Linked DNA regions of Caenorhabditis elegans. The protein of the gene in region 3 purifies or fractionates together with the protein of the main gene of each other region. This does not show direct contact. Each region holds a gene or a part of one and is shown on either strand. Other genes may lie near its edges.

What was found.
Region 1: the proteins of C27H6.9 (region 3) and C08F8.15 fractionate together in Caenorhabditis elegans (co-fractionation; one large-scale study listed by BioGRID). This does not show direct contact.
Region 2: the proteins of C27H6.9 (region 3) and T19D7.6 fractionate together in Caenorhabditis elegans (co-fractionation; one large-scale study listed by BioGRID). This does not show direct contact.

The regions. Positions count from the first base shown.
Region 1 is NC_003282.8:11,159,063-11,165,064, forward strand, and holds C08F8.15 (F-box domain-containing protein), read right to left. Parts: upstream 1,746-6,002; 5' UTR 1,730-1,745; coding exon 1,644-1,729; intron 1,596-1,643; coding exon 629-1,595; 3' UTR 501-628; downstream 1-500. Other genes in the region: mboa-4 (Membrane Bound O-Acyl transferase, MBOAT), read right to left, coding at 1-46, 90-229, 295-399; fbxb-9 (F-box domain-containing protein), read right to left, coding at 3,217-3,331, 3,382-3,467; C08F8.6 (non-specific serine/threonine protein kinase), read right to left, coding at 3,724-4,111, 4,201-4,316, 4,485-4,794, 4,898-5,226.
Region 2 is NC_003284.9:669,184-675,075, forward strand, and holds T19D7.6 (LRRcap domain-containing protein), read right to left. Parts: upstream 1,618-5,892; 5' UTR 1,501-1,617; coding exon 1,498-1,500; intron 1,449-1,497; coding exon 1,348-1,448; intron 1,182-1,347; coding exon 1,046-1,181; intron 1,002-1,045; coding exon 892-1,001; intron 695-891; coding exon 574-694; 3' UTR 501-573; downstream 1-500. Other genes in the region: lgc-32 (Neurotransmitter-gated ion-channel ligand-binding domain-containing protein), read left to right, coding at 3,860-3,977, 4,023-4,123, 5,622-5,676, 5,719-5,842.
Region 3 is NC_003283.11:9,981,241-9,989,163, reverse strand, and holds C27H6.9 (Mitochondrial genome maintenance exonuclease 1), read right to left. Parts: upstream 6,297-7,923; 5' UTR 6,285-6,296; coding exon 5,928-6,284; intron 5,872-5,927; coding exon 5,714-5,871; intron 5,662-5,713; coding exon 5,505-5,661; intron 5,462-5,504; coding exon 5,279-5,461; 3' UTR 5,232-5,278; downstream 1-5,231. Other genes in the region: rde-1 (Piwi domain-containing protein), read left to right, coding at 1-279, 341-823, 900-1,121; MYG1 protein C27H6.8, read left to right, coding at 1,412-1,518, 1,614-1,815, 1,862-2,309, 2,362-2,627; rmd-2 (TPR_REGION domain-containing protein), read left to right, coding at 2,887-3,044, 3,091-3,209, 3,252-3,354, 3,769-3,826, 4,349-4,441, 4,495-5,100; tofu-1 (Schlafen-like protein 1), read right to left, coding at 6,489-7,044, 7,099-7,423, 7,476-7,680, 7,728-7,763.

The DNA.
Region 1 (6,002 bases), on a different chromosome or scaffold from region 3:
GAGAAGGTAACTTCCAAACCCGTTGATGAATAAATGAGCTATGGCACTGAAAACCCTTTTTTTTTAATCTACTTCATCTCAAAACTCACTTTCCATAGCAAAAATAGGTGAAAATTAGCCCAACTGATGTAGTGACTGCTGCACGAGTTGTCCGACTTGCATCACAAAATTGTACACGGAACCAGTAGCCCAAACCGAATGATAGAAGAAGAACAGTGACGAAGTTAAGCTGAAAATTCAAGTTTTGCGAGGCACATTTAGTGCAATGCATTAAAATATTTCAAAAACTCTTACTTGATCCAAATTCATGCTAATCGCTCGTGAAACCGGTCTCAAGAGTGTGACCGGATCATAAAAAATATGATTACTCTCGTCAACATCCTCATTCAACGACGACATCCTCCGAGTCGATGTGAAAAAATAATAAATTGATTTATTCTTAAAGGTTTATCTCCACATCCACTACGTCATTTTTGAATTGTGGTTTCTTATTTCACGTTTTTATTCCAATATTTATTCCATTTTCCAGTTTTTCCAATTAACAAAACAATTAGAAGCAACAAATATGTGCATATATATGTGTTCATAAAAAATACAATTAATGAGAGTGTATCAAAACAGAACAAAACTAGAAAATAAACATATTTAGGCTGTACCGCATAACACTCGGATTGCATGTTCTGATTACAACATCGCAATTTGTACCATCGAATCGTGTAATACGAAAACCACGAATTTTGGTAATTGAAGGATTTCCGTGATTGAAGATATCAAGCATTTTCTTATAAACTGACACCTCCTCTTCTTTAACCTTGTAATCAATTCCTTCTAATATTGTTTCTATAACAAGTTCTCTTTCCATATTCATCGGAGCTTCTAATGCCAAACATTTGAGTGTTACATTTGATCCACGTATCCAGTGCTTTAAAAATTTGTTCACATCTTGTCCCAAAAAAATGTTGCCTCTATCAACGTTAACGAGAAGGTTTTGGCAATTGGATATGAGTAAATCATTCAGATTATATGGAGAAAAAACATTAGAGAATAGTGTCGCATTATTACAAATAAGAAATTTGTGAATAGACTGTGAGGTTTCATACGTGCAATTAGACAACACAATAAACTCTGCTTTTGATAAAAATGTATCATTAACGGAATTTGTTCGGTTGGTTTCATTTGAAGTCATGTCCAGTATATGATAAGATAACTTTTTTACACGAACTCCTTCTAAACAACTATGAAGATTTTCAAAATCAACATTAACATTTCTACTTCCCATTGCAACATCTAAAGTTGAAATATTGAGAATATAAAGAAAGTGATCTATCCAATTTCTAAATTTTAAGTTTGGTCGTTCCCATTTAAAATTTTTCACATCATTTGTAGAAACTTGAACATTTTTCGGTGCACATAGTCCTGGTGTAATTTTCTGACTACTATTCAGCATGTACAGATAAAAATCAATTATACAGCCTTCGAAGCAAATACTCAAAATAAGGTCATCAAAGAATTCTAAACACAATCGTATGCACTTCAGATTTAGACTCCGAACGAGGTCTTTTGTATTTTTTGTGGCACACAAGGAGAGTGAAAATCTGAAAAAGAAAGTGACTAAACTGGTTGTATTAACAAAATAAACTTACACAGAAACAGAACTCATGTGCGAAAGTGAAATGCGTTGAGCTCTTTGAGGCAATTGAAGAAGACGAAATGGAGAAACGGCAGCCATTATAGATGTGTTATGCAGAAAATGCAAGACATATGAAGTGACTGCAAGAGAATATAGATCGATATCTGACTAAATGGTTGCAACAGATGGCAATGTTGTAGTGACTGACAATGAGCATGATAGGAATCCCAGGTGACCTCATCCTAAATGTTTCAAACGAAAAAACCTGATTTTCAAAAATCAACATTAACATTTTTCCTTCCCATTGCAAAATCTAAAGTTTAAATATTGGGAATATTAAGAAAGTGATCTATCCAATGTTTAAATTTCAAGTTTGGTTGCTTTAATTCAAAATTTACCACATCATTTGTAAAACGTCGAACCTTTTCCGGTGCACATAGTCCTGGTGTAATTTTCTCACAACTATTCAGCATGTACAGATTAAAATCAATTACACAGCCCTCGAGACGAATACTCAAAATAATGTATCTGAATGCTCCAGCACTCTTCCGTTTAAGATTATTATTTATTTCGTCCCATGAGTGAAAAGAAAGGAAACAAAGAAAGGTAAGCAGCAAAAAATAGCGGTCAAAGGGACAGTGCCTCGGAGGGGACAGAGTCAGAGGGAAAGTGAGTATAAATATGTGTTCATAAAAAGTACAATTAATGAGAGTGCATTAAAACAAGAATCTAGGAAACAAACATATCAACATTACAACATACACTATTTGCATTTAATAATCTGATTACAACTGTTGCATTTGTTCCATCGAATCGTTTAATACGAAAACCACTTATTTTGATTATTGGATGTTTAAAGGTATTTCCATTGCAGATGTGAACCAGTTTAATAGAAGCTGCATCTTCTTCTCGTGCATCCTTGTAACATATTCCTTTTAATATTGTTTCTATAGCATGTTCTATTTCCATATTCATCGGAGCTCTGAATGCCAATGATTTAAGTTCTCTATTGGACCCACGTATCCAATGCTTTAAAAATTTATTGACATCTTTTTCCAAAAAAATGATGCCTCTACCGACTTGAACGTAAATTTTTTGGCCATTAGACACCAGCAAATCATTCAGGTTATATCGCGGCACTCCACGAGTGAATACCGTCGTAGTATTATGAATGAGAAACTTGTGAATGAACTGTGAGCTTTTATACGTGCAATTATAAAAATCAAGAAACCCCGCTTTTGATAAAAATGTATCACTAACGGGATGCTTTCGATTAATTCTATCTGAAGTTATTTCAATACCTTCATAGGTGAGCGTTCGTATAGGTACTCCTTCTAAACAACTATTAAGATCTTCAAAATCAACATGAACATTTCTCTTTGCCATTATAACATTCAAAGTTGAAATATTTAGAATATTGAGAAAGTGATCTATCCAATTTCTAAATGTCAAGTTTGGTCGTTTCCATACAAAACTCTCCACTCTATTTGCAAAAAATCTAACGTTTTTCGTAGCACATCATCCTGGTGTAACGTTTTTTTACTGCTCAATGAATTAGACTAAAATCGATTTGACTGTTTTCGCAGCTAATAATCAGAGCAATGTCGCCAAATATTTCTAAAGAAAATCGATAGAACTTTATATTGAAATTTCGAACGAGGTCTTTTGTTTTTTTTTGTGGAGCACAGGGAGAGTGAGAATCTGAAAAAGAAAATGACTAAACTGGTTGTTTGTTAACAAAATAAACTTACATTGAATTATAACTCATGTGCGAGAGTGAAATTCGTTGAGCTCTTTCAGGCAATTGAAGAAGACGAAATTCAGAAACGGCAGCCATTATAGTTGTGTTAGGCAAAAATGAATGACTGCAAAAGAATATAGATCGATAGTTAACTGAATAGTTGCAACAGATGTCAATGTTGTAGTAACTGAGCATGGCAGGAAACCCAGGTGACCTCATCCTGAATGCTTCGAACAAAAAGCAATGTTACTAATGAGAAACTCCAATATTCAAAATAATCACGTACGCGTAGGATAAAAAACTAGATATCACATGAAACATTCAAAAATAATTTATTTTTCTCGAAAGTCAATCAATACAACTCCTCCTTCTTATCGTCTTCATACTTTTCCTTTTTCTCTTCCTTTTTCTCCTCTTTCTTCTCTTCCTTCTTTTCCTCAACAATTTCCTTACTGACTTTGGTAACCTCCTTAGTCTCCTTATGAGATTTTCCCTCTGCCAACTCAACTTCTTTTTTCTTGATAACCTTTTCTGTTTGATCTACAACTCCTTTCTTCTTCTTTTCCTGTTCTTCCTTCGTTTTCTTCATAAGAGATTGCTCCCAATCATACGGATATTCAGTGGATCCCGTATTCTTCATTGCCTCTCTCAAAAGATAGTAGATCCGTTCATAGTTCGGCTCATCAAAGAATTGTCCCTTATCGATCGCTTCGAGAATGTCAAGGTACTCACGTGGACAGCTGAAATAAGATAGGTTTTGAAACAGAGACGGGTGATGAAAGTTTTTTCAACACTTCAAAAATAGTTTTTTAGAAAATCTGTCTCTTACCCTCCGAACATCTTCTTCTTGACGATGGGATCACGGCGAATAGCACGCTTCTCATTTCCAACATCCTGGATTTCTGTCATATTACGCCATGGCAGGGACCCTTTAGTGAGCTCAACCTGGAAATTTAACATTTAAAATGTTAGATTTCGGATCAATTTCAATTTCTGATAAGCTTTCTGCCTTCCTTAAAATGGCAGAGTTTGAATTATCGCGCAAGTGACTTTAAGCGCGAATTCAAATCTAGTTGAAAAGCAGATAATATTTTGATCCGAATACACACTCACCACCATGTAAAGCCACGTTTCGCAATCATCCTGACGACAGAGTTCACGTCCAGCATGACAACTGACAGGCGCATACTTGACAGTCCCACGGAACCCGGCGACGTTACGGGGCTTCTTGATAGTTCCATCCTCGTGAGCAAATTTACGAGCCATACCGAAATCCAGCACATAAACTTTGCGAAGCTCATTGACCTCGGCACGTCCGATTGTGTAGTTGCCAGGTTTGACGTCACGATGGAGATATCCAATGTTGTGCATGTCCTCGAGTGCCTCCAGCGATTGACGGGCAATGGAGATAGCGGTTCCCATTCTGGAAAGGCAATTTGGTGATTGAATTCTGGGAGATCCAACGGGAACAATAACTTCCGTTTTGCCAGATCTCTGTAAAACCGTTTCTCTGAAAGAAAACTTACGAGAATTTCTTAGTTGGTGAAATGGCTCTCAAATCGGCAAGTGACAACCCAACAAATGTCATCACGACATAATTGAAATTATCGACTTGTCCCTTATCCTCGATATTACAGAAATGACGTCCTCCGGCCTTCTTCAACTCATTCAACACGTAGACTTCCATTTTCAACAACTGAATTTTCTCGTCTTTTCCCTCGACTTTAAGTGCAAAAAGGTCTCCTTTCGGGTTGGAACACTTGTAGACTGCACCAAATGCACCCTCTCCGAGTTTCTTATCAATTTGCCACTTTTTTACTTTTGTACCGACACTTAGCTGGATCAAGTCGCCCATTTTATTTGAGTTACTGTAAATGTGAATTGAATTAGATACAAATTTCAAGCCATTACATTAACATTTGGTTAACACAACTGTTTAGGCTAAAAGAAAAGTCTGCCCTTACATACCTTTTAGTAATTTGTCGGAGAATTATTATTGATTTATTTTTCGAATTCCCCCTTTTGGAAGTTTTCTTTTGATAAGAAAAGGTCACGTGAAATTATTTTGTTATAATTATCACCACCCCCCCCCCCCCTCCCTAGTCTGACTGCAAAATGATCACTTTGAAATTCCCCCTACTCACCTTTTAGTAATTTGGCAAAAAACTTCCAAAATAAATTAATACTGATTTTTGTCGAAAGATCGACATTTTGATAAAGCCTGTAACGTAAATTTTATAAAAGGTTACGTAAATAATTTTTTTATTATTTTGCTAGACATTGATTCAAAATTTCCCTCCAACTTCAAGTGCTTTGCTGGCAGTTACACCTGTATAACCGTGCCGCTCAAATTGTAGCCTTGTTGTTACTATCCATGTTCCGTCACAAAGCATCCGACCGAGCACATCTGTCAGCTCTCTTTCCGGCTCTGTTGCGTCTTCCACGCAATCCAATAAAATGGTTGTTTGTGTTGTGTACTCGTACAAATTGCTCTTCTTTTGATAATCCTCTTGCAACACACGTGGCGGTGTACCTTTTACCTCGATTAGGAATGTGGAAGAATTAGGAATGGTGATAGTGAGATAATCTGAAAGATTGCATAAGTTTCAGATTGTAATTTGAATACTGTAA
Region 2 (5,892 bases), on a different chromosome or scaffold from region 3:
TACGGCGCGGATCAAAATTGTTGTATGTACAGATCAAACTTGCCACGTGCACAAGTTGAAACCTAGTAATAATCTCAAACAATTTCCAACTTGTATTGCAACAATAATATAATTTTAAGAACTATTATTTCAAGTCTTAAGTTATGTGTTTCATGACATCTACACAAGAAAAAAAAAAAAAAACTAGGGAAAAGCTTTGAGAGGTTGCACAAAACTCAATTGAGCACCTGAATTCGATGATCATCCCTCCCTCTATCCACTCCCATCGGTTGCCGAAAAAACAATTGGTGGTGAGTTTCCACTCGGTTAAACACGTACTTGAGTCTTCGGACAGGAGCACGCACATTCTTTTTTTTCTATTCAACATGCAATTCAATTCCATTTACGTTAACCTCCATTTTCCCATTTTCTTCGTGGGATAAAGCATGTGGCTTTTAAAAGAAAACCGCTTGCCGCCCAAAAATAATGGTGGATAAAAAAGAAATGTATAAGAAGGAAATAGAAAAAAAAGATTTATTGTTGTTTTTATGCAAAAGTAACAAAAAATGTAGAAAAAACAAGCAACTTAAGTTGTCACTCGGACCCTGATGATGTTTTCGAGTCGGTGGAGCATCCCGAATAACGTTTTTGGCGGTGTGTTTCTAGACCATTCAACACACGTAGTTTTTTCAAAACCTTTGAAATCAACATTTTTCTGAAAAAAAAAGTTGATATTTTTTAATTTTAATATTTTTTATTTTTGAAGAGCTGTTTATGGTGGAAATGGGAATTCAACACGATGCTATACATTGCAAAATAAAAAACGGTGATAAAAACTGTTTGTATAGTCATTTAATTTTCAAGTGAAAACAAAATTGATTATTTTTGGAACCCGAGCAAAAAGGAACTCACTCCTTTTCTGTGAATTTTTCTGGAATTCCAGGATTGTTTTTTACTCGGAGCACTTCTATATTGGGACAATTTTTCTGAATGTTTGCAAGAAGCACTCCTAGGTTTCGAATCTGAAAAAAGAAAATGGAAACAGTTTTTCAATTATTGAACTCACCTTATTATTTCTGACTGAAAGTTCTTTAAGATTGGCGAACTTTGGCATATTGAAAGAATTTTCAGTAAGAACATTGTTGTCCAATGTGAGTTTTTCTATACGAGTACGGTTTTTGAGAACTGTGCTTGGAATACTACTGAAAATAGGCATTTCCGATTGTGAGTGCTGATAATTATTTTGGTCAGTGCTAATGGCTAACTTGGTCAGTGCTTAGATTTTAGGTAGTTAGAACAAAACAATATATATATATATAGGTATACTTGATTTGTAACAATTAGACAAATTATATAAAATACACTTACGTCAAACAAAGTCCTGAAAGTACAACATGTGAGTTTATTTCATTCTTCATAGAAATTGGAGAATTTTGGTAAATTTGATGGGCAACACAGGCGTGTACAGGCTGAAAATACTAACAGTTTTTTACTTGTTAACAAAGTTTATAACACAACCATTTTCGAAATCAAGACGGGAACGATTGAGCACAGACACACACACCACGCAGCAGCTGTCAAAAAAGAGAAAGTGAGGGGAGGGATGAGGGTAAAAATTCCTTATCAAGGTCAGCCTCATGCTCAACTACATCAAAAATGTTGAATGTCAGGGTTCTTTCGTACCGGTCACTCGATAAGTTTTCTTATCAGAGAGTTGCATTAGTGGTAGTGGTGACCAAAAAGAATTTGAATTTAATTTTGAGAATAGTTATCGGAGAGGAAAAACAGAAGAACCTTAAAAAATCAAATCACAGGTTCAAATGAGGGGTGGGCGGCAATGGTTTTTTTTTCGACAAATCCGCAAATCGGCAAATTGTCGGAATTGAAATTTCCGGCAAATTGGCAAGTTTCCGGAACTTGAAATTTCCTGCAAATCGGCAAAAACCGCAATTGTCGATTTGGCGAATTTGCATGAAATTTTCAACAAATCGTGGTTGTGTACTTTTTTTTTGGAAATTTCAGAACTTCAATTTTAATCGTCAAAGTTGTACGCATGCTATGAATGCTCCTACATCAATTTTGAAAACTAAGCGAATTGTAATAAAATATTGAAGAAAACGGGAACAAATTTGAAAAAAAAACACAGTTTTGAGTGTTTCAAAACAACCTCTTGGCAAAGTTTTCCGGCAAATGGGCAAATCGGCAATTTGCCGATTTGCCGAATCTGTCGACAAAAAACTGCTGAACGGCGATTACCGCCCACTCCTGGTTCAAATTACAATTGCAGAGAAATTTCAGGTCCTGAACTAACTGAAATAAAAACAAGTATAGTTTCAAAGGGTTTCTGTGAATTTTTTTCAGATTTTTTAGAAATAAATTATATATTGTAGTACTTCTTTTGAAAAAAATATTTTAATTTTACAATCAGTATAAAACATTGAATAAATTATGTTACAAATTACTGTCAATTAAAAGTGGAACTTTTGAGTAGATCACCTATATCTGCTTTTATAAAACTTACACTTCAAAAAACTAATTTAAAACGTGTAACACGAAATGAAAAAGAGGTGACCATATATGTATATACATTCTACCAAAACCAGATTCTTATCATTTCTTCTTCCAAAGCAAAATGGACAGATTTCTCATAAATTTTCACTGTTCATTTTCAATGTTCTGTTGGTTTTCCAATGTTATGTTTCTCTTGTCATCTTCTTTTTCGAATAAATAATTTGTGATTTATTTTCAAATCCGATTTTTGGACTAATGTAATAAATTTGGAACGAAATTAATTACCTCTGATAAACATCTTTTGAGCGAAGTTTGAGTAAACACTTTTTGATATAAAAAAACGTTCACTTTGTAAATAAAATAACTTTGAATTGACCAGATACTGGAAAAGAATCTCTTAATTTTATTTACCAGTAAAGAAAAAATTCTATTCAGATCAAAGCTGATTCAAAATCAACCAACAGGAAATTTTTTTTTAGATAGGTATGCTTTTTACAAAAAATTTACAAAAAAACCATGTGAAAATGCGAACAAACCCCAGAAATAGTAGAAACAAAAAAATTAAGTTTCAGGTGGAGAAGCCCCAGTGGGAGTTTGTTGAGTAATATCATTTTGATTATCGAAATAAACCGAATATCTTGTGGTCTTAGAATTTGACTCAAACAAAAAAGTTGAAACTAATTTGACAGTTTTTACCGTGTTATTTTATCACACAGAAATGGCTTTTCACTATTTTTTCTGGCGCTATTCTACTTTTAAAACTAAATTCTGTAATCAATCTTGTCTTCAAAAGTATTTTCCTTTTTTTCCACTTTTTCTATCCGATCGGTAAAATCCCGCCTTGTTGTTTTTTTTGCGTTGAATGAAGAGATATTTCTCCCTAAATTTGATAAGAAACATTACTTACAATTGGATTGAAGGGGGAATGCAGTTCTTTTCTTTACTCTCTCAATTATTTTTCTTTTTGTTTCCTTCTTAATGAATCACTTTTTCCTTTTTGTTCACTTTTTCAAATTCTCAATTTTTGATGCGAAATTTAAATTACCTATGTATCAACTTTTCACAGTTCTCCGGGTTTTTTTTAGCAAATTTAAATTTCTAGTCAAAATTTTTTCTCAGAGAATTTGAACTCTCCGTCAAAAATTTTTCTGAGAGAATTTGAATTTCTCTCCAATGACCTAATATGGTGGGGCCGTAGAATTTTACTTCAATAACGGCAACTTTTTTTGTACTTTATGTTACAACTCTTTTTTTTCTTGAGAAAATTCACTGGCATCGTGCAGATTTTTTTAAACAAAATATTCTTTCTCACTACTTCATCCCTGAAAATAATTTGATTTATCCTAATTTTTTAGACCTGATCCTTAAAATGAAGTATCGCATTTGGATACTGTTGATTTTTATCCCAATAGTAGTATTATGCGATGATTGCACAAGTGATGAAGATGTGATTGCTGATCTCTTAGGAAGAAATTCACATTCTTCTGGTAACTTATTGTGAAAAAGTGGTGTTGAAAAAAAATAATTTTCAGGTGAAATTGTGATAAAGTCGAACTATAAGATTGCCAAATGGTTGTACAATTCAGTAGCGCACGAGTTGAGCACAGAAGGTTTTTTTGAAATGAGTTGGACTGTGAGTTAAATTTATTTCCAAGAAGTGATTTTGGACTATTTTGAATATAAATATGTTGGGTAATTCTGTATTATATCCCCGCAATGAAGACAAGTGACAATTTTATTAAAAACATAACAAAAAAACGTTCACTCTAAAAAAGTTTTAAAAAAAAGCTTTACTTTCATCAAACATATATAACATGACTGAACAAGTTTTAAATTTCCTGATTAATTTTTGTTATTTCTTCATTTTTCAATGAATTATACAATTTTAAGCATCTTTATTCATATTTTCAAAAAATATTCCAGTATAGAAAATTTGATAATTCGAAAAGCTCCTGCCAAAAAAAACTTTTGAAAAACTGGAAAATCTTTTTAAAAATAAGAAAAATGCTGTAAGTTTAACAGTTGTATCCGGTTATTTTGGCTTATTTTTCATAACTTAAAAAATCTCTACTTTTCAGATTTTTTGAAATTTTAGATCTCTATCCAGGAATGTTTATATTATTGCCACTATTTATGTTAAAATTTACAAAAACTTACATTATAAAATGTGTAAATTACTTTGTAACTTACAAATTTTTTTTTGAATAAAACATTTTCTGTGCTTTCAGGAAATGAGAATAAAGAAGTAAACTTTATAATTGAAACTTTTTTTTTAAATTTGAGTTATACAGTGCCGGCCATAATTCTATCCAATTTTCGATTTTTGATAAATTTAAAAATTTCAAACGAGCACAACTTAAAAACTGGACATGCAATCAAAAAAAGTTCAACTAAAGAAATATTGTCAATAACTACGTCTACTTGTATTTAGTTGTTTAAGTTGTTTACCAGTGTCATGACAAGAAATACAGCGACCGACATCTCGTGAGCCCGTTTTTGACAACTTTTACTGATTCGGCCGTATCTCGAAAACTAATTTTTTTTCTGGAAATGTTTTTGAAGTAAAATAATCTTCATTCTACTTGCGATCATTTGTGCCTACTCACTTTGTTCTGAAAAATTCAGCAAAAAAGTTATGGAAGTGCAAACTAGTCCCTCACTTGGCACTGCTCATGCGTGTTTGTTGTCGTACACATTTTATTCAAGTTTAATCTCTCATAACTTTTTTGCTGAATTTTTCAGAACAACGTGAGAAGACACACATGATTTCAAGTAGTATAAAGATGATTTTACTTTAAAAACACTTCCAGAAAAAAATTAGTTTTCGAGATACGGGCAAATCAGTAAAAGTTGTCAAAAACGGGCTCACGAGATGTCGGCCGCTGTATTTCTTGTCATGACACTGGCAAACAATTTAAACAACTGAATACAAGTAGACGTAATTATGGACAATATTTCTTTAGTTGAAATTTTTTTGATAGCATGCTCAGTTTTTAAGTTGTGCTCGTTCGAAAAATTTGTAAATTTATCAAAAATCGACAATTGGATAGAATTATGGCCGGCACTGTATGAAGAATATATTCAAAGTGGCGTTACTTTTTATATTTTATTTTTTAATAAAAAATTTTCAGAATACCACTTTGGATTTTACCAATCTCAACGCCTGCCACAAAACTGTCCGGATCAGTAAGCAAATTCTTGTTTCAAATATTTGATTTTTTTTTCCAGAAAGTTTACTCCACATTTTTTGGTTGCCCCATGTATATTTTCCTTTCTCGTATAATCTCGAAGAAAGTCGTAATTTATACAACATAGAAATCCATGAAAGTGGTAACATTACTTTGTCAAAAAGGTATTTTGAATTAGATTTTTTTTTCTTCAAACGTCATAGTAATCTATTTC
Region 3 (7,923 bases):
GAAATTGCAGAAATATCACCAGAAGAAAAAGAAAGACGGAAAACAATGCCATTAACTATGTATGTTGGAATTGATGTAACTCATCCAACCTCCTACAGTGGAATTGATTATTCTATAGCGGCTGTAGTAGCGAGTATCAATCCAGGTGGAACTATCTATCGAAATATGATTGTGACTCAAGAAGAATGTCGTCCCGGTGAGCGTGCAGTGGCTCATGGACGGGAAAGAACAGATATTTTGGAAGCAAAGTTCGTGAAATTGCTCAGAGAATTCGCAGAAGTGAGTTGTCTTGAGTATTTAAAAGATCTCTGGGATTTTTAATTTTTTTGTAAACTTTCAGAACAACGACAATCGAGCACCAGCGCATATTGTAGTCTATCGAGACGGAGTTAGCGATTCGGAGATGCTACGTGTTAGTCATGATGAGCTTCGATCTTTAAAAAGCGAAGTAAAACAATTCATGTCGGAACGGGATGGAGAAGATCCAGAGCCGAAGTACACGTTCATTGTGATTCAGAAAAGACACAATACACGATTGCTTCGAAGAATGGAAAAAGATAAGCCAGTGGTCAATAAAGATCTTACTCCTGCTGAAACAGATGTCGCTGTTGCTGCTGTTAAACAATGGGAGGAGGATATGAAAGAAAGCAAAGAAACTGGAATTGTGAACCCATCATCCGGAACAACTGTGGATAAACTTATCGTTTCGAAATACAAATTCGATTTTTTCTTGGCATCTCATCATGGTGTCCTTGGTACATCTCGTCCAGGACATTACACTGTTATGTATGACGATAAAGGAATGAGCCAAGATGAAGTCTATGTAAGCGTTTTGAATAGCAGTTAGCGATTTTAGGATTTTGTAATCCGCATATAGTTATTATAAAAAAATGTTTCAGAAAATGACCTACGGACTTGCTTTTCTCTCTGCTAGATGTCGAAAACCCATCTCGTTGCCTGTTCCGGTTCATTATGCTCATTTATCATGTGAAAAAGCGAAAGAGCTTTATCGAACTTACAAGGAACATTACATCGGTGACTATGCACAGCCACGGACTCGACACGAAATGGAACATTTTCTCCAAACTAACGTGAAGTACCCTGGAATGTCGTTCGCATAACATTTTGCAAAAGTGTCGCCCGTTTCAATCAAATTTTTCAATTGTAGATATTGTACTTACTTTTTTTTAAAGCCCGGTTTCAAAAATTCATTCCATGACTAACGTTTTCATAAATTACTTGAAATTTATTCTGTGTTTATTATTTATTACCTCTAAATTTCGTTTTGAACGTGAGCATCATATCTTAAACTACTTATTGATAACGGTTTCATAAAGATAGGTAATTTGATTTTTAAAATGTTTTCTCTCTGCAGGTGATTTCACGACTTCTTGGACAGTTCGGTCACAAGATGACATCGCTCATTGGTACTCACTCCGGAAAATTCCATTGCGATGAGGCTTTTGCTTGTTTCATGCTGAAACAATTGCCACAATTCAAGGATCATTCGATTTTAAGGTAATTCGATTTTTCATGTTTATCAAGTTTGCGAAATGACCCACTTTTTTATTAGGATTTATTTTATAGCTGAGTTCTGAAATCTGTAATTTCAGAACCCGTGACGCTGCTCAACTGGAGAAGTGTGATATTATCGTCGATGTCGGTGGAATCTTTGATCATTCAAAACAACGATACGATCATCATCAACGTGGATTCACTGATACCATGCGTACTCTAGAGAAGCTTAACTTTGATACAAAACTAAGCTCTGCAGGATTAGTTTACGCTCACTACGGGAGAGAAGTCATCAATCAGGTAACTTTCAATAATCAAAAGGTTGTTTTGAAACTATTAACTTCAGATCCTTGGTGGAAATGTGTCATCCTCGATGATTGATCTATTCTATCATCGTCTCTACGAGCAATTCGTTGAATCAATCGACGCCATTGATAACGGGATTTCTCAATACGACGGAGTTCCAAGATATCATTCATCAGGAAATCTTTCATCGCGTACTGGTCAATTCAATTCCCATTGGAATGAACCTGAGAATGATGCTGATGAACGATTCCAACAAGCAATGCAATTCATCGGTGAAGAGTTTTCACGATCAGTGAAGTACTTGGCAAATGTTTGGTGGCCAGCTAGAGAGATCATCGAAGCTGCTGTGGATAAACGATTTGAAATTGATGCATCTGGAAGGATCATTCTTATCGAGAACGGTGGATGCCCGTGGAAAGAACACTTTTTCGACATTGAAGTAGAGAAGAATATTGCCGACGATAATATCACTTACATTCTGTTCTCGGGTTAGAAATTATTTAATTTTTTAAAATTCAATAATTATTATCTGTTTTCTAGATTCTACCAATGCTTCGTGGCGCGTTCAAGCAATCCCAGTCGACAAAATGTCATCATTCGAGAATCGCATGCCACTTCCAGCTGCTTGGCGTGGTCTCCGTGATGACGATCTTTCGAAGGAAAGTGGAATCCCAGGCGGAGTCTTTGTCCACATTTCCGGATTCATTGGAGGAAATCTGACTCGTGAAGGAGCAATTGCCATGGCACGGAAAGCTCTCGAAATAGGAGAAGAGAATCCAGTGAAAAAAGCTAAATTGGGTAATTAGATCTAATCTATCTAAAATTAATTACTGTTTTCATTTGTTTTGTTTGAATTTGTCCAGCTGATATTTCAGTGATCCTTTGATATTTTATTACGTTCAATAAACTTCCTCCCCGATGTCACTTTGCTTTTCTTCTTTTCTTTTTCCATCTCTTACACTCCAGTTGTCTATAAAATTTGTCACGTGTCATAACGGTCCGGTTCTTGCCTGAATCTTTATACTTCTAAATCAGTGAGCCATTGGTATTTTCTAAGCTTAACAGATGACTACGCCGTCTACAAGTTCTGAAACTGTATGGAAATATGTGGGAATAACAGCAGCCACAGGTGCGGCTGTAGGTATATTTCTATACTATGCAAGAAAAGATGACCGAAATATCGTCGAAATCGAACGACTTCAGATGATGACCGAGGTTCTAGGGTATCAAAATGAAGTACGAAAGTTGTTTCAGAAAAAATAATTTTAGTGCCAAAGTTGACGATCTCGAAACTCTGCTGAAAACCATGTACGATGAAATCAAAAGTCAACGCGCACTTCGAACTTCTTTGAGTAGTGGAGCTCTCAAGACTGTATCTTTCAAATTAGGTAATTGAAAAAAAGTAGAAATATAAATTATATATTTTTCAGAAGCGAGTAATAGCCGTCCTTCTACCTACAAACAAATGTCAAGGACCAGAAGCTGGACTTCGATTACTTCAGATTCAGAGTATGGAGACGCCGAAGAAGATTGGTAATCATTTGCTGCCAAAGATGTCAATAATAGATCCAGAAATCAGAATGATAAGATTAAAAATCTCCACAATCATAAATTGAAAAGATAAGATAGATCTCTATAAATAATGACGTCAACTCTTGCCCGATGTCACCCTTTACATCTGATAATCTGTTCTCGTGAGCTCCCAAGAAACTTCTTTACACTTTGTGAGACAAGATTTTTGGGAGAGAGAAAACGTCTGCATTTCTCTTGAGTTCTGTTTCAACAATGAATTCTATTATTATCTTGTCACTAATAATTATTCAATTTCTGTCGATTTGTGATGCCAGGTAAAAAACATCTAGACTTATATTTTTCGATGACTCACCCACCATGGTAGATCAAAATCTTGTTTTTTTTGACCAACAAAATTTTCAATCGTTTTTGCAGGTACACTGACGACCGCGCATTTGGTGACTCAAAATCGCTCAGCAGATCCTTATCGCAGGTCAGTTGGAGTATTTTTGTCTTCTTTTTCCGACTTTCTTCTCTCGAAAAAAACCCTAGAATATGCTGGACCTTATACTTTGTTCCCATCTTTTGTTGCCAGAAAATATCTGTAAAACTTTTAGATTTGAACATTTCAAAGTTATCTTTAGCAAAGCGATATCAAGTTTATATTCTTTAACTTTTACATATATTTTCTATGATTCATTTGAATATTCTCGAACGAATTCTGTGCTTCCAAACATTTTTTGTTTGTGTGTAGCCTATAAAGAACATCTCTAACTGCCTATTTCCTCTGACAGCCGTCACTCTCTTCTTTCTCGCGTAGCGCTCGTGAATCAGTATACACAAAACTGCTGTTCTCGTCTTCTGTTGTCTTCCCATTTTTGATACGAATTTGCTCTCTTTTTTCTTCTTTCATTTTCTTTCCTCCGAAATGCCTTAGCTTTGCCTGATTGCTGGCAATTCAAAATGATAAGAAATATTTAAGTTCTCTTTTTAACGAAAAGTTATTTGATTTCAGACCACCGCTCATTCAAAAACAATGTCCTTCGAAGATCTTGATGCTCTTTTCGGAACAGACCGCGTCCAGGAGGGGTATGATGCTTTAAAGAAGGTAGACTGTTCATTTATATATTTAAACAATAAAATATAATTTTAAATTTGCAGAGATACGATGCTGGAGAGAAGTCCATTGATGTTCTTTGGCGCTTGGCCAAATTCTGTAACGAAATTGGAAATCGTGTTGAGAAGGACAAGAGAAAGGACATCATCGTTGAAGGAAAGAAGTACGCTACCGAAGCCTGGAACACCGATTCCAACAACTTCTTGGCTGCTCGCTGGGCTGCATTGATGTCGGGAAAGGTCACCGAGTACCTTGGAACCAAGGAAAAGATTGAGGAGGGAAAACACTGTAAGGAATATCTCGATCGTGCCATCTCTATCCAGCCAAAGGAAGATGCTCTTCTTCATCTGCGTGGTCGTTGGGCTCTTTCAGTAGCCAATCTTTCGTGGTTTGAACGCAAAGCTGCTGCACTTCTGTACTCTGAGCCACCAACTGCCACTGTCGAGGAGGCTATCGCCGACTTCCAAGCAGCTCATGAAATCAATCCAGACTGGATTGAAAACACGGTTTACCTCGGAAAAGCTCTTCATCAAAAGGGAGACAAGGCTGCTGCCAAGCCATTCTTTGAGCAGGCTCTCAAAATCACCCCTACCAACGATAACGAGAAAGAGCTTCTCACCGAAGCCAAGGGCCTGTGCTCGAAGTGTTAAATCTATCATGTTTCGATACTTTTGTATTTACGTAATTTGGTTCCTCTTCATCCCTAAATTCACTTCTGGTGTAAACTTTATGTTGAAATTTTTCTGCTTGATGTGCATTTTGTATTATATAAAACATGAAAAAGAGTTGTGAGAATATTTATTTATAGAAAAACATCACATTTTCCAATTATTTTGGGGGCTTATACGCCAAATCAATATTAACTTGATTGGCGGATGTCACTTTGCACCAGAATTCATTCAGTTTCTCTGTGACTTCTTCTAATGTCCTCATCATTTCATCTTCAGATATTTGATAAACTTCAGCAGGTGACCCATCTTCTTTCAGACTAACCAATATTCCTTGCTTCACCTACAATTAAAATTTTTTCAGCGTAAAACTAGCATCATCTTACAAAAGGTAGATTTTCAAATCTAACATCATGATTAAACGCAGAAGCGTATGCAGCCAGTTGACGGACATAGCTTGTGTAGGATAAACTATCCTCGCGCTGTGTGCTGAACGAGGATCGTGCCGGAGTAGTTTTCCAATCTAATATGTTCCAATAATCTCTGAAATCAGCTGATATGTGAATCAAAACTTGAAAACGTCCGCGTCACCAACTTGTACTTGACAACTGCATCAAATCTTCCTTGATACGCCAATGTTGGATGCCTGACTTTCTTCTCACAAATTGCATTCTGCGGATCCTGTATTTCCAGAATAACGGGCATTGCACTTTTCATGAAATTTCTGATAGCAGCATTTTTCTCATTATCGATCTGAAAATTGACCAGATAAATATTTTTGCAGTGTTTTTAATGCATTCAATAATTACAAGATTATTCAATTTTGACTCGTGGTGTCCTAATTTTAGCATCTCTTCAACTTTTGTATGAGTTTTGGTTCCCAGTGACATTCTTTCCGTCATACTTGATTTGAATGCACTCAATCCCATTTCGTCAATTTTTGCTTTCTGCCACAAATATAATGCTTTTTGGTCACTGATCGCAGAAAGGATTGCTGAAAGAAAAGGTCGTCGGAGAGTTGAAGTCTCAGAATTCTCAGCAATTCGTTTCTCGGGAAATAGGCACGGATTATTAAATTCCGCTTCCGTTGGAGGAGCAACATCTATGAGCTTCGCAAAACTTGGCATTATTGAGGTTCCGTAGCGAATTGTGCATTTTCGAGACATGATCTGATTTATCTGGAATCAAATTGCTTGTTTTGTTCAAAATTAACCGACCGTTCAAAAATAAAAATAGCAAATCACATGCAGGAATACTACGAATATCGTTAAACAACAATCAGAAATTGGTACAAAACTTCATGATACAGATATAATGGAGGCGATATTAAGCGAAACAACGAACAAAACAAAAACAGAAGATTAACAACTTCAAACAGATGATTCTAAACGATAGACTTGATTACGGAGTTGTTTCACTCGAATGACAATCAGAAACGTCTCATCCATTTCTTCAACTGGAACGAAGTTCATGTCAACTACGTCGAGAATATTCTCAATTGGAGGTGCAAACTCGGTTTGAACAGCAGTATCCAGAGCAAGACGCAGATTATCTTGTTGACCAGGACCCATGTGGCATCCAGTAACTTTTCCGTCTTTCCCAATACCAAAGAGAACCACGGCGAGACGCTTTGAATTCAATGCATCACGGATTATCTGTTGGATGTCATGTGTCTCCATCAAGTTAATTTCATCCGCACTTCGAATATGAACATCCGTGAATTTGGTTCTGAATTCAATTTTGGCTCCAGCCTTGACAGTTGTTGTCAACTTTCCCAGTGTGATCAATTCTTTCAATGTCTTGTCTTTCTCGTATGCCATGGATACACATGAATCGATCCAGCGTTGATCGTGACGAGCAAATTCGAAACGAGGTGGACGAGACATGATTCCGTTGCGAACGTTGAAGCTGGTTCCATACACATTTCTGGAAGGATGAAGAGTTGAAATAGAAAATATTCAGAAAAGCTTCAAGACCTACTTTTTGGAAGCAAAATCTGGAATATCTTCTACTGATACGGCATGCTCTTCTTCGGTGATGTACTGCATATACTTCTTAAGTGAAGACATGTCGAAAGCATCCTTATTTTTGCATTTCGCATCAGAAGCTTGAGTTTCTGCAGAGGAAGAACTAACAGCTCCAACACTAATACCACTGTCCACATCCTCTAACTCGCTGCGATCGATGATATCAGGTTCAACTGAAGAGTCCAAGTCTTCGAAGAGTCCTTCAATTCGAGAATTCATCTGATCTCCTGCCAATGCTTTTCCAAGAAGAGCATCAAGAAGTGATTCCTCCACTTCGGCTGGAAAATATTTTGTTACAGAAAAAGAGCAAAAAACTATAAAACTGCTCACCTTGACCATCGTGAAGCTCGACAATTACTTCATTTTCGGAAGGGATGTCCACTTCTTCAGAGGATAATTCGTCATCTTCAAGTTCATCCACATTTTCAAGCTCATCATCGTCTTCAAACTCATCGTCGTTTTCAAATTCATCCTCGTTTTCATTTTCTTCGATTTCACTCAAAAAGCCGCTAAAATCTTCTTCATTTTCGGAATCCTAAAATTCTTGAATTATACTTTATTCTTGTTAATCCAGAAACTCACCGAATAAGAATCATTCTCTTCAAAAAGCGCAGCCATTGTTCCAAAAATAACTGAGACAGAATATTCGATTTCGAAGGATTGTCGAGGGAGCAGGATTTGGGACAAATTCCAGATAATTGTCTCAAAGTTGTGCTACCGTACTTTAAAGGTACATTGCTATTTTACATTAACAGGTTCCCGAATGGAATGCCATTTT